Elephas maximus indicus: one gene and its partner. The protein of the gene in region 2 interacts with the protein of the main gene of each other region in a pairwise test. Links are inferred from orthologs where the notes say so. Each region holds a gene or a part of one and is shown on either strand. Other genes may lie near its edges.

The links.
Region 1: the proteins of LPXN (region 2) and HOXC9 interact in binary tests that used the Homo sapiens proteins (3 or more experiments, as listed by UniProt). The two-hybrid records come from large-scale screens. The link is inferred for Elephas maximus indicus from reciprocal best matches to the Homo sapiens genes LPXN and HOXC9.

The regions. Positions count from the first base shown.
Region 1 is NC_064822.1:109,519,540-109,527,235, reverse strand, and holds the start of HOXC9 (homeobox protein Hox-C9), read right to left. Parts: upstream 3,019-7,696; 5' UTR 2,934-3,018; coding exon 2,396-2,933; intron 672-2,395; coding exon 427-671; 3' UTR 1-426. UniProt on the Homo sapiens protein: Sequence-specific transcription factor which is part of a developmental regulatory system that provides cells with specific positional identities on the anterior-posterior axis.
Region 2 is NC_064825.1:120,442,011-120,449,173, forward strand, and holds the start of LPXN (leupaxin), read right to left. Parts: upstream 3,020-7,163; 5' UTR 1,400-3,019; coding exon 1,348-1,399; intron 1-1,347. Other genes in the region: E3 ubiquitin-protein ligase ZFP91, read left to right, coding at 6,505-6,854. UniProt on the Homo sapiens protein: Transcriptional coactivator for androgen receptor (AR) and serum response factor (SRF). Contributes to the regulation of cell adhesion, spreading and cell migration and acts as a negative regulator in integrin-mediated cell adhesion events.

The sequences.
Region 1 (7,696 bases), on a different chromosome or scaffold from region 2:
TACAAAGTCTGCACACAGAGCGCCCCAGGCCTGGAGAAGGATGACCCGGACCAAATACGATACAGGAAAGAAAAAAAAAAAAAAAAGAAATATAGCGATTCAAGTACTGGCTTCTCTGAAAAAAGGAGAAAAAAAAAACACATTTGTGTGTGTCATTTATTTCAGTTGCGCTGGGGGAAGAGAATGTGGTTTCTCTCCCTGCCTCCTCCTCGCTGGGTAGAACTAACTCTAAAACACCAATTTCTCAATACTGAACCCTCCCAAATCGCAAGAGTTTTCCTTTTTTTTTTTTTTTAAGCTGATTAGCTTTTCTCTATCTTGCTCTTTCCTTTTCTTTTTCGTGCTCTCTCCCGCTTGGGTTGGGGTATTTTTTGGGGGGTTTTGTTTTTCCCTTGGCTGTGCCGAGGCAGCAGGCCCGGGCAGGGTTTAGGATTGCTCCTTGTCGGTTTTCTCCTTATTCATCTTTTTCATCTTCATCCTCCGGTTCTGAAACCAGATTTTGACCTGCCGCTCGGTGAGGTTGAGAACCCGGGCCACCTCGTACCGACGGTCCCTGGTTAAATACATATTGAAGAGAAACTCTTTCTCCAGTTCCAGCGTCTGGTACTTGGTGTAGGGGCAGCGCTTCTTCCTCGTGGAGCGGGCGTGGATCCAGTTGGCCACGGGGTTGCCTGGAGGGCCAAACACAGGCAGGGGTCAGTGGAGCCCCCGTGCAGCCCAGGATCCCTGTCACCCTTCCCCCAGGCTTAGCCAGGCTCCCCAAACCCAATAATTGAACCTGAATTTGGACACGTTTTGGTTTAGGAATTTTCTCCCTTCCTCCTTTTGCGTTCTGCCCCCTCCCTATCTCCCCCCCCCTTTTCAGTTTCCAGCACCTAAAACTGTAGGAAATCTGAAGCTATCAAAGCCCCTACGATCTGGTCCTCAGCTTCAAGAGTAGTAATTCGAGAATATCCTCATAAAAAGTCCAAATTCCCAACCGTTTCATAGGCCCATAAACGCTTCTCTCTCTTGTTTTTTATTTTTATAGCGAGGTCTCTCTCCTCCCCACCTCCCTCCTCCTCTGCCCCCTCCCATCTTCCCAGCCCACGACCAAGTCCTGAAATTTCAGCAGTTCTGTTTCCTGACCCTGAGAGTCCCCAAGCCCATCGTCACCCTCTGCAGTGCTTGTTTCTGCTCAGAGCTCTACCCTGCTGAGGCGAATTCTCAGGGTGACGCTGGGACAAGCAAAGCCTTGCTCCCCTCCCCAGAGAGCTGCTGGCTTTGGGGACAAGCTCCCCTATATCTTAGCTTCCCTGCGTGGCTTCCAGTGTCCCTCTTCTATCAGCCCCAGGACAGGCTCCTCAGGAGCCAAGCCTCCAATTTCAGGTTTATGGGAGTAGCTGAGGGCAGGGAGGGAAGCCTTCAGAGGGATATAATTAGGCCCTGGCCCCTTATGGGGCTGGAGGGAAGATTTCCTGCAGCCTCCTCCTGGGACACCCCCAGACACTTCCTCACACCCAGGGGGCTGCATCCCTCCCCTGTTCTTTCCCCTTCTTTCCGCTGTTCTAGCCCTGCAGCTCCCACATGCCCTCCACCTCCCCCAGCCCTTCTTTTGCAATATTCAGAAGGCCCCTGTCTCCCTGACTGGAGTGTGTGTGTGTGTGTGTGTGTGTGTGTGTGTGTGTGCGCAGAATTCTCTAATCTGGGGAGGTGCCTCCCTGCTCCTCATCCCTAACCCCTATTCTCAACCATCCCTTCTGCAGATCGTCAGAAGAGGTTCTCAAGTTTAAGGAGACTCGGGATCCCACTGCTCTCCCCCAACTCTGGAAGTCCTCATCTCTTCAAGTTCCCAGACTGCAAAATCCCCCAGACCCCTCACCCCAGTGCTCCTGGGGCAGGAAAAGTCCATGGACCTCCTGTTTTATGAGTCTCTAGTGGGGTGGTGAGGACCCCCAGGCTGGCTGGGAGGTTGGAGTGATTTTTCTCCCTAGGGTATATCCTCTCTGTCCCCAGTGTCCTCTCCACCTCTCCCCCCCGTCCCATCTCAAACTATAAAATGAACCTCGCCTCTGCCCTACTCCCTGGCCCTGTCTGCATTTCTTCGAAAGTGGTCACTGAGCCAAAAAGCTTGGGGTAGGGGTTGGGGGGCAGAGGTCTCTCATCAAAGTCAGTTCCTGGGAAAGGAGCCCCCCTCGGCCCTCTCCCAACCTGGCTCCCTGGGCCCCCTTCTCAGACCTTCCTGTCCCTGAAAGCTCCTCAAGGTAATTCTCTTTTATTGAGTCCTCTCGTCCCCTCGCCCTCGCCCCTCTCCCGCGCTCCCTGAGCGGCTCCGAGGGGCTGTAATCCAGCTCCCCCCGCCCGTCCTCCCCTCCCCTCCCGCGCCGGTTGTAAAGGAAAATTGCTCCCAACTTACTGGGGTCCAGGTCGGCCTTCTCCTCTTTGTGCTTGCTGCCGGCGAGGGCGTCCGCCTCGGGCGAGGGCAGTGTCTGCGGGGCGCGGTCGCGCAGCTCCCCGGGCGAGCCGTACATGTAGTCCGGGTAGCTGCGGCCATCGCCCGGGCCGCAGTCGGCGCGGCGTCCGGGGTAGGCGTCGGGCTTGAGGGCGTAGTGACGGCCCCCGGCCGGGAAGCTGGGGAAGGAGACGGCGCCGGACAGCGGCTCGAGCCAAGTCCGCATGTAGCGCGTGTCGGCGCCGAGGTGGGGCTGGGGGCCGTACGGGTGGTATACCACGGACGACTGCGAGGGCACGGGCGCCCACGACGTGCTGAACACTGCCGGCTTGGGCGCGAAGCTACAGGACGGAAAATCGCTACAGTCCGGCACCAAACCGCTGGGTCTGGCGGCAGCGGGGTGAGCCCCCGTGGCCGGAAACCTGGACGCTAGGAGGTCTTCATTGTCGTGAGAGATGAGCGAGTCCACGTAATAGTTACTGATGGGCCCCGTCGCCGACATCGTAACAGGGTTTTACATACATAAGATTATTGTATGAACTGTATATGTACTTTTTATCTGCTCACAGAACAATCAAGGCAGGTAATTATTTTTCCAGCCTTTTCCCCGCAGCTCATTGGCTCCCCGGCCCCCACGTGATCGTATTTACCCAAAAATACGGCGCGGATCAATGCGCAGGGGCTTTTTTTTTTCCTTGCTTTTTTTTTTTTTTCCTTCTCCCACCCCCTTCTCTCTGCTGATCCCCGCGACCTGCGTTTTCCTGGGGTCCGGAACTCTGGGCCCAAGGCGCCGGCCACCCCCTCGGGAAGGCTCCTATAGCATCAGAAAACCCCTTGCCCATGCCCACCCACAAGTAGATGGCCTCCCCGCCCCCCCATGAGGATTTTCTAATGGGGTGAAAATGCCAGTCCCCGAAGCCACGGTCCCCGGACCCCCAGGGCCGAGCAGACGCGGGAGCCCCACAGGGGCGGGGAGGCCGGCCGAGGTAGGTGGAGGAACTATTTCTTGACGTAATCTGTCTCTGTCGGGCCCGACGCTCCCGCAGTCTCTGCGCGAGCCCAGATCAGCGATTGTCAATTCCTAACGTGGCTTTTTTAAATGCGTTTTTAAATAGTGTGTATGTATGTATTTCTTCCAGGAGCAGCAGCAGCGAGGGAGGGAGGGAGTGTGGGAGGGGACTGGGGAAGCTGGGGTGGAGGGAGGGAAGGAGAGAAAGGGGAGCGTCCTTCTGCCACTGGCCAACTCAGCCCCCCAAATCTGGGGTAGGGGAAGCTTGGGGAAAGTGGTCCGCGGTAGGAGGGGTGGGGGTTTGGGACCCCAAACACCTTTATCATCAGCCTCAGAAGTCCTCTCTTCGCCTTGGCACAGATGTGCAAGAACCTTTATTTTAAATTTATTGTCTAATCTTTCTTTGCCAGCTTGAAGAAGTAGAGGAGAGACTTACACAACTTAAGTGGGGCATCGCCATCCAGTCTTCCTGCTTACCCTCTTTTGCCCCCAACTCCATCGCTGAGACACCCTCCCCTCCCCAAAAAAGAAGTCAGCTCCCAGGCTCTGTCTGCAGAGAGCCAGGGTGAGCGCGGGGAAGGCGAAAGGGAGACCTCGGTCGTGGGCAAGTAGCTTGTTTTTACGTCCTTCAATAAAAATTTTATGAGGATCATTTGATTGTTCATAAATGTGTCTTTCATTAAATAAAATTGTAGGCTGTTTTTGGAACGGAGAAAAAGGCAATGGAAGGCTGGTAGAAAGCAATTTCTTTGGGGTCGGATGCAGGAATTCCGGAGGGGGCAGTATGATTAAAAGGGGAAGAGCAAGCAACTTGGAGTCCTACCCCCAGTAAGTTGGTTGCTACCCTCCTCCTTGAATTGGGGTTCATTGCCTAGCCTCCTGCTTTTCATCAGGTTGTCCAGGGATGGCTGAGGAAAAGGAGGCTTTAGATATGCAGGAAACTCTCAGTGTGGAGCAGGAGAGGGGGCAGGGAGGTTGGCTGGAGGAGAGGGACAGGTGAGATGGAGAATTGATCCCCAGAGACACAGTGCACCCTAGGCAGAGCAGAGCAAGTTTGAAGGAGGGGTGCAATTTCAGGGTCAGAGGGGAGGAGACCCAGTCTGTGCTCAGGGAAATGGGCTGGAGCTGAGGCAGAGACACAGGCTCTGAGGCGGCAGGGAAGGAGGAGGCTTCCCAGACCCCAGGCGCCTGCCCTTCTTTTCCTCTCTTGTCCCCAGGAGGGGACCAAACACCAGGGGTGGGGGCGGGGGCTGGTAGTCTCCTGCTTCTCTGTCGACCTGTGTCTCCTGGGGTAGAGATAGGTGTCCCAGAGTACCTGTGTGTGTTGGGGGGGGGATTTGGGGGGGTTGGTAGAGCTGTAGCCTGCAGCATCAACCCCAGCCCACCAGGCCCCCACCCCACTCTCTGCTCCTCCCCCTCTTGGTTCTTTCCTTTTCGGTCTATCCGGGCTGGGATTTCCAGGCATGGGGAGGATGAGGGAAGCACCTGGCTGGGGAGAGGCAACCTGGGGCCTCAGCCTGGTAGTCCTCAGCTTGACTGTCTCCCCCCCCCCCCCCCCCCCCCCCGCACCAGGCTTGACAGGACTAGGAAATCCAAATTGCAGCAAGATACAGAGTATCTCTTTGGCCTTGATGGGGTAGGGTTAGCTGTCAATCAAAAAATAACCCTCACTAGTTCAAGGAAAAGACTGGAGGTTCCTGTCCCCCTGCCGAGGCTTTCTCCAAATCTCCAGGACCCACAGCACCTCCCCCAGCCCTCGGCAGCTGGGGACCCTGCCCGGCTCTTGGGCGGCTGCTGGAAGCAATGAGCAGGGACATTTAGTCTTTGGCGGGGCCCGGGGCCAGACTGCGACCAAGAGGACGTCAGGGGACAGAGGCTGGGAAAGACTGAGCCGGAGACAGACCAACTGAAACGCGGCGCCAGGCCCGCAGAGAGGAAGGGAGGAAGGAAACAAGGAAACGGAGGGGTTAGGAAAGAAAGAGAGACAGACGAATTAAGGGAAAGAAGAAAGGCAAGAGAAAAGAGCGAGCGGGGAAGGGAAGGCATGCAGAGAGAGAGGCTGGGGAAAGGCGGCGTTAGCAGGCAAGAGGCAGGCAGGACCGGGCAGGGCGCGAGCTGGCGGAGCAGCCATGGCATTGTGCAGTCCGCTTGCCGGGCCTTTGCCGCTGGACCGGCTCCGGGCGCGGCGGCCACTTCTGTCCGGACACAAAGGAGGAAGAGGCCTCCTCTCCTGCCCCTCCCGACGACCTGCTTGGGTGGGCACACTAGGCCTCCGGGATATAGAACCCCATTTCTGGGCAGGCAGTCGCTTAGGCGGCTGGGGGCTGAGCCGCATTCTAGTCAAGGAGCTGAAGAAGGTTTCACGTTCCGCTCCTCTTTAGCGTCTTCTCCAGGAGGCAGGGCCCCTCTGCCCCGAGCCTCAGCTTTCCTGGGGGGAAGACGCCCCTAGTCACCCTCTTCTATGGGGTTCGGCTATTTGGAGAAGCCCCTCAAATAGACATAGTCTTCCTAAACAGACGCCCTTTTCTCTCCTACCCCCTTTGGCCACCGCCTGCTTTTCAACTCTTAAGCTGCCTGCACACCCTGCCTGCCCACCCGGTGGAGGCGGCAGCAGTGAGGCAGCCTGATCCCCGGCCTGCGCTCCCTGCTGCCTTCAAATCCTCCGTGAAACCGAGGGGAGATTGTCGCCTTCCTTTCAGAGCCTGAACTCGGACCCTCCCCACTCAGGCGCAGGCACAGCTGTGGATCAGGAAGCAGGCCTCGCCCACACCCTCCTCCTGCCAATGCCCCATTCCGCCTATGCCTTGTCAAGAGAGGCAGCCTTGGGGAGGGGGGTGGAAGAGCCTGGGAGTCCCCTGCCCACCAGGCCTGAAGCTTCCACAATTGCATGTAGGTTGTAGTTCCCATTCTCCTCATTTGGAGGTGGGGGTGGCAGGTCAGAGATCTTAAACAGGCCTCCACGGTCCCCCCAAATCCAGGCTTGTGGGTGTGTAGGCACAAAGGATGTGGGGGGCACCCGGAAAGAGGGGCTCATCTTCCTGGATTCAGTTACTCCCTCTAAATTTCCTGCCAGATTCCACAGCTCCCTCTTACCACCACTACTCTCTTCAATTTCCTCAGCACCGCTGAGGCAAACCCGGAGGGACTGGAGGCCGCTGGGAGTCCCTGTTGGGGAGGGGGGAAACCCCAGCTTTAGCTTGGAGCTCTGCATTCACTCTGGTTTTAAGAGCTCCCTTCCCACCCCAAAAGATGTCTCACTGGGCACAAGAGAGTCCCCTAAGGGGGTGGGGCATCCTTACTCCATCACCTCAAGCCAGAGCCAGCATCGCGGGAAGGACAGACAGTAAGACAGGCTAGAGTCGTTCCTCCTCCTGCCCCTCGCCTCCCTTTTAGTGATTTAAATTCCCTCCGGTTCAATCCGCACTGTCAAGTTCGGATTAAATTTAAAACAGGCTTTTCCCGGGGCCCCCAGCGGGCCATCCCCAGCCGCCGCAGGCAGGGAGCCCTCTCTCCAGCTCGTCAGCACCCGCCCTGTGCGGAGGAGGCCGTGCTCCGTTTGCTTTCATTTTCCTTCTCCCCCTGAAATGGGCTCATTTCACCTCCTCTCCGCTGCCCTCTTCCCCTCCCCGCCCCCTCCCCGGTTCCCCTCTACTTTCCCCCCTTCTCTCTCCTGATCCCTCTTTGTTGGGAAAAAACACACCCACACACAACTCCTCCTAGCTCAGGCCTGCGCTGGAAGAAGAAACTGAGTTCTCCTGGCCTGCCGCGAGGAGACCCGCGTCCTGCCCCACCCCAGGTGGGTATCTGGGATCCCTTCACACCAGGAGTTAGGCTCTCGAGCCCAGCAGGAGTGAAACCCTCAGGGACTGTGAACGTGGCCCTCTCAACGCCACGGCCTGCAGGGCTTGCCTTCCCGCCCGCCGGCGCCCCCGCCCCGCTGCCCCGCAGCAAAAGGGGCTATTTCCGGCTCCCCCAACTGGTTCTAGTTTCCCAGCGCAGGGAGTGACTGGAGGGCGAGTAGCCCCAGTGCTAAGGGTGCTCTCTGCTCAGTGCCTCCATGGCCCTGAGCGGTTGTTACCTGATCTTTTGTGTAACGTGCGTGTCGCAAGGAAATTTGCAGTGACTTTGGAGCCTAGACAGAGAAAGCGGAGGTGGCGAAAGGAGAGACAATACTAGGCCGAAGTACAATCAAGGAGCCAGATCCGCTAGTCTCTCACCCGCCTGCCTGCCTGACCGGGAGCTGTCTGGACTCAAAC
Region 2 (7,163 bases):
TTTCACCCCCTCAGGAGCAAGAAAAAATGAAGAAAACTAAAAGATACAAAGGAATGATTCATCTAAAGGACTAACGGACCACACCTACCTTGGCCTCCACCAGACTGAGTCCAGTACAGCTAGATGGTGCCCAGCTACCACCACTGACTGCTCTGACAGGGATCACAACAGAAGGTCCCGGACAGAGCTGCAGAAAAATGTAGAACAAAACTCTAACTCAAAAAGAAAGACCAGACTTGCTGGCCTGACAGAGACTGGAGAAACCCTGAGTGTATGGCCCCCAACACCTTGTCAGCCAAGTAATGAAGTCACTCCTGTGGCTCATCCTTCAGCCAAAGATTGGACAGGCCCATACAACAAAACAGACTAAAGGGGTGCACCAACCCAGGGGCAAGGAATAGAAGACAAGAGGGAACAGGAAAGCTGGTAATAGGGAACCCAAAGTTGAGAAGGGAGAGTGTTGACACGTCATGGGGTTCTTAACCAACGTCATAAAACAACACGTATACTGTTAAATGAGAAACCAGTTTGTTCTGTAAACTTTCATCTAAAGCACAATAAAAAAAAAAAAAGGAAAGAAAAAAACTAAAGTAGAAAGAGAGTGAGACTTATTGTCTTAGAATGTTGGTAGGCAGGTTGAGAAAATTCAGGAATTCCAAATTTTTATTCTGTCTCATTTGTATTTTCTAAGCTTTGCTCCAACCAGAAGTCAAAGATCCTTCTGGATTCAAAATAAAAAGTCATTTACAATAAAGGCTGGGGGAAAGGGGAGACCCTGTATAAGAGAAGTAAACCATACCACTAAGAGTAGGGGTTACGCTTAGAAGCACGAGCTAGCCAGAATTATTAAAACTCTCCCTTTTGGGCTGTGAGTTAACAGGCCTTTCTCTTCCTGTTTTCTGTGAGTCCACATATCACCAACATACTGAGGTCATCTTGCCAGATTTTGTAATTTGAACATGACTAATTTCACTATGACAAATACAGGGCTACCAGTGGTGGTGGCAGAGGGGACGGGAAGATAGTGGTTGGGACAAGACTGAAAACTCTATAGCCCTTTATCTCACCGATAGCTCCAAACCCCCTCCAGTAATGAAATATCAACATTAAGAAGAAAGGAGTAAAGTGGGATCTCTCAGGAGTCCCCATGAGCTGCAATTTCACAGTCTGCTACTGGTTCCCTTTATGTAGCACACCTGTGTATTGAGAATTTAGGTAAAATCTTCTGGGTAGATAAAAGCTACTAACCTAGGAAGTTCTACAGAGGGAATATCTGCCCCTTTGTGCTAATCTGCCTTCAGTGCTATATGCCTGCAGAGGAGAAGAGGGACCCACCCGAAGACTTACAAGTAGCTATTAGGCTGATGACAATATGAAGAAGCTGTTCAGGTGTCGACATCAACAGCTACTGAGGTGTAGCCATCTGGATAATCTACACAAACGTTAGCTTCCAGGCTGCTTGGTACTTTCTGTATTTCTAGACCAGATTTCTCTACCATTCGTCTTGCTCAGGAAATGCAAAACTGTGCAAATCTACTTGTTTTTTATTATGTGGGTTGTTCCATTGGGGGGAACACCTGAGCCAATGCACTTTTCAAAAAAGGAGAAATGCCTTGTAACTTAATTGGCTTTGGCGTCAGATGCTCCTGAGAGTGACCTTGAAGAAATGATTTCATTTTTTCCTGGTTTCTCATCTGAAAAAAAGTGAACATTACCTACTACAGAGGGTTGCTGCAGACCCTAGAATGATTCGCATATATAAAAATGCCTCACTTTAGCCTGAGACACTGAATAAACATTAGTTCCTGTTTGAATAACCTACATGAAAACTATTAGGTATGCCTAAAATTTAAAAAAGTAGAGAGAGAGAGACAGAGAGACTACTGGAACTTGGCAGAAATGTAGATATCCCCAACCCTCACACACAGGATAAGAATTTGGATTCTACCCCAAGTCCAAAATGCATCTATCCCCAAGGATCAAAATAGACTTTACATCAACAATAGTTCGATGTTTGTTAAACAACACCTTCTCCTCTTCATTCAACGGTCTTCTCTTTATAAATTGGAATCAACTCGACAGCAGTGGGTTTTGGTTATTTGACTTTCTTGCATCCTCTATGTGCCCAGCCCTCAAATCACACCCCCAAAACAATTAGGAAAAAAAAAAAAAAAAGGACAATGTCCAATATGTGTTTTTTGTTGTTGTTTACACTTGCAACACGCTAAAGCCCAGGACACTGTAGAATTAATACAGCTTGGAAATTGGGTAAAGGTTAGGGAGTGACTTGGTGTCAGCAAGGATGCTGGAACAAACATTGGCAAAGCCTAAAAAAATAAGTCCCAAGAATGATAGGCTTTACTCCAAAGGTCTGAAAGCGGGACCTCCCCAGTTAAAGTGGCTAATCGTTCCACTGCTGGTTTTAATTGCCTTGTGGTGGGAGGAGGTATCATGTTTGTAGGCCATAGTAATCTGTTCCTTCAGAATTCCTCTGAATAAAAAGCTTAGTGCCAAAATCACTGATTCAACACTAATCCAGAAACAAAAACGAAACCACCTTGGCTTTTCTCCAGCCTCTGCAGATCCCTCATTCTTGTGCTTCGACTCCATTTCTCTTCCTCAAAACACCCTTTCCCCTTCTCCATTTTCTTTCTTCCTTTCTTCCCCCCAAATCGCATCCCTGTAGCTGTGTGACTACCCTATAATCTCCTGTATCTCCCAAGGGGCAAAATGCCCATGTTAAAAATGACAGTTTCAATCACGACTCAGTCCAAAAGTATTTCTGTAAAGTTTACCCTGTGGTTAGCACCAAGCTCTCTGTTGTGCTACTACAAAGAGTGAACCTGGCTTTCCCCCAAACAATCATAGTTCCTCATGTCTCACTCTTGGTTGGCCGAAGAAAGCAGAGAAGTGAAAATAAAATCTCCGAGTACTGCTGTCAATCTGGCTAGAAGTACATCCCACCATACATAGACAGGGCAGCCAAGTCTTCATTCCCTCAGTTTCTCCTCAAAGCAGCTCCACTCACCCAACTCTTCCATTGTCACACACCCAAGATACTCTGGTCCCACAGGTTGTAAGGAACTGCTTTTGCATGTGCTGAAGAAGAGGACCACAAAGGAACTGAATGAGACAGCATGAAGCAGCCTCTATAACCCTTTCTGGTTCCTGTATTTGCTTAGCACTTCCTCTCTTTTGATTTGGTGATTTTTTTTTTTTTTTTTTGGTAGGTCACAGTTTTAAAATGAAATAGGACATAGGCAGGTTGTAAGATTTGAATTCCTGTGGTGGACTGGCAAGGAAGAGTCAAAATAATTTAGCAAAATTTCACTACTTACTACATGCCAGAACTCATCTTTAAGTCATGGAAATGGCAGATTTGTGCTTGTGTATTTTCTCAGTGTGGGTCCCACTGTGACTGTACATCAGGAAACTTGCTTTCTTCTGTGAACGTGGGTGACAATAGAGGCACAGTGATCATAAAATTTCCATCAGAGCTAACCAGCACCCAATTCATTTTGTTGTCTTTTTTTTTTACTTCATTATTCAGAAATTACACTTATCCCTTTCCTGAATAAATTGTAAATCCTTAAAAGGCAGGGTTGATGTTTATTCACATTTGCATTGCCAGGGCCTGGCTTATTTCAGGGGTTCAAAAGTCAAACATCTATAGAGGGCCCGTCATCAGAAAAGATCATATTTGGTAAAGTGGTACTGTTTTTGTTGGCTGCTGTTGAGTCAACACTGACTCATGTGACCCCATGGTAAAAAGGGAAATCCAACATGAGATGGATCAACATGGTGGCTACAGCAATAGGCTCAAACATAGGAACGATTGTGAGGATGGTCCAGGATAAGGCACTGTTTTGTTCTGTTATACATAAGGTCACCATGAATAGCGCCAACTCAACAGCCGCTAACAGCATGAAAAAAGAAAAATGAAACTGGAAGGTTTAAGACAACAGGTGCTAAACTGGTGACATCTCGATTCAGCAAACTTCCTGCCTAGCTGCATTGCCTTAGAGCAGTTTCTTTGCAAAGTGATACTGAGGTTAACTTTCACCTTTTTACCACTGAGATTTTACTCACCTTGAATGAAATAAAAATTTACCAAATGAGTCAGAGAAGGCAGTATGTAAAGAACTACAATTAGGGTCCTGTGAAATAAGTATTATCACCATTTTTACCAGCGGTGAAATAAGTTCAAGGATAGTAACTTGCTTGACAGAATTAGTAGGTAGCTTTGTTAGCTACGTACTATAATCCAGTTTGACTTCAAAGTCCATCATCTTTTCTCTACAACACAATGTTCTCTTTTTAGGTTAATCTAAAGAGATCATTCATTTTCCATTCCATTGTGTCTGTAAGACTTTTTTGTTTTTTTAATTAAAAGATTCCCGTTCTGCATTACTCCCAGTAACCACTGGATGTCAGTGCTGTTCCAAGAGCCTGCTCACTGCAAGCATGGGTATGAAAAAATTTCCATCCACACTCTATCAAACAGTTTTTACAACTGAAAATGACATTAGTTCTATGAAAGTGCAAAACACTCAGTAGAGAATATAAAACATTTGCCTAACCTTAAGTGGTAACTGAGCCAAAATACTGGAAGGAAAACCGCACTTCAGCACTTGGCTGGCAAGTAACTGCACTGCATCTACAGTTTAACTGAATTTTTAACGTGAAATCTAGAATAGGATCCCAGATCCTGTTTCCATTCTCATCCTTCTGGGGCTTTTAACCTCGGATGCTTTATTTTCCAGAGTTAAAGGACTGTTCTTTCAAATCGTTCCTTGAGTATAACGGTCGAAAGAACGAGATGCAAGAGGCCAACTGCATCACTGATTGCAACTTAGAAATGAGCAAATGGAAACTCCCTTTTGGCGCATCAGGACAATTTAGTTACACACGGTATTGGGCAGACAAATAACTTCTCACAAAGCTGCAATTCTGTGTTTCCTGTGCAGTTGAAACATTCATAAACCGCAGGTGTCTTCGGGACAGGAAGCATGAGGTAGACCTTCAGCTTCCCTGGGGAGGTCACCTGAGACACGCTAACAACCGTTTGCCCTTCCCTCCATCTCAGGAACCACAACCCAAAAGGTATGCAGCAGTCGCCAGCTTCTTGATGCCCTAACAACGTCTGGTAGAGAATCAATTCTATAATTCGTTCCACAAACTTTTATTAAGAGCTGACTGAATGCTAGGCATTGCGCTAGGCCCCTCAGGACCTAGCCAAATCAGATTCAGTTCCTGCTTTCCAGAGGTCCACAGGCTAGTAGATCAGAAACAGGATGGCAACACGAATAATGTAGACATGAACCCTAGCCTGCCCCGGGGGAGATGCCAAGGGAAGAAGCATTACGCCAACGCTAAAGAAAAAGCCCAAAACAACCCTCGCTGACCAACAGCTCCCTCGCCACTTGGGCTGGCACTGCGCAGGCGTCACGCCCCACCCCGGAGGCACTGCCAACCTAAAACCCAGTGCCGTCGAGTCCCTAGAAAAGTAAAATCGGACCGCGGAGAGTAAACTACTTTTCCCATGGAGCACCAGTCACCAGCACCAGCACCCTCTCCGTCTCGGTTTCTTTTTTTAGCCGCAGGCCAAAGTAGCTAGGACTTCATATCCCAGGGTACCTTTGGGAAAGTTAACCATACGCATGCGCCAAGAGGCGGGCTCTCATTGACCCCCACGACCCCGCCTCCGTTCTACCACCGCCATTTTGTTGAGACTTTCATCCGGCAGCCGACGGGACTTTTTTTCTTAAAGGAGAAGCGACAGCTGAAAAAAGTCCCCCGTCACTGTGCAAGACCTGGCGACGCTGGGGATAAAAAAGCCAAAGACAGGAAAGTGGGACTCAGGGTGGAGGCAGAAGAACGACCAGACTGTTTCCACGAATTGAGGCTAGAAAGAGCCCTGGTGGCATTAGCGGCTCCTAAGGCAGGTGCGCGCGCAGCCAGTCCAGGGTGCGCGCCAGGCGGGGAAAGAGGTGCGTTTTCTTCCTACTAGCCTCCCTCGCGAGACCTGCCCCTCCCACCACCTCTAGCGCCCGTTGATCTCCGGAGCGGGGGGGGGGGGGGAAGGTCACTTTCGGATTGTCGCGAGACGCAGCCGTTTAACGGTGAGAGTGGGTGCGCGGGGAAGGAAACCTCGCGCGCTCCCTTGAAGCCGTTTCCTGATTGGTCAAAGAAAGGGGTGGGGGAGGAAACCCGGTACGCCGCTGCGTGAGAGGCCGACAGGGGCGGGGTCACAAGGCCGTTCCTCCTCTCCGATTGGTCCGTGGAGCGTCCGTGTCGGGCGCGCGCGCGGCGCCAGCGGCTGCGGGCAGTGAGTGGCAGGGGGCGGGGGGGCTCCCTCGGAGCTGGGAGGAGGGGAGGGGGAACAGGAACGCAGGGTGAGAGTGAGCCCGAAGCTCCGGGAGGCGAAGGGGGCGGGGGGAGCAGCGCCGCAGCCGCCTCCGCCTCCGCCGCCTGGGACGAGGGGGTGGGGACGGACGAGCCCCGATGCCGGGGGAGACGGAAGAGCCGAGACCCCCGGAGCAGCAGGACCAGGAAGGGGGAGAGGCGGCGGTGGCTAAGGCGGCTCCGGAGGAGCCCCAGCAGCGGCCCCCTGAGACGACGGCGGCGGCGGCGCCTGCGGGGACCACTAGCAGCCGCGTGCTGAGGGGAGGCCGCGACCGGGGCCGGGCCGCTGCGGCCGCCGCCGCCGCTGCTGTGTCCCGCCGGAGGAAGGCCGAGTATCCGCGCCGGCGGAGGAGCAGCCCCAGCGCCAGGCCTCCCGACGCCCCAGGGCAGCAGTCCCAGGCCGCGAAGCCCCCGTCTCCAGCTCAGGGCAAGAAGAGTCCGCGACTCCTGTGAGTAACGCAGTGTTTCAGGCGGTGGGAAAGACCCCCCTGTCCGCACGCAACCCTCCCGGCTCCCGTAGAGTCCACTCCACGTGACATCCTGCCTGCTCTGCCCCCTGCCGGCTCCGCACGCCTAATGTCACCCTGCTTTCCCAGTTACCCTTCCGAGCACTCCCCTCCGGCCCCCCATGCCTTCTGCCTTTTGGGGACACTTCCCGACTCTCTGAAATCATCCTTTGTGGAATACACCCCTCCCTGTCCCCAGTGGCCCACTTGTCTGCCGCCGTAGGCTTATTCCGCGCTCTGGCAACTGCACGT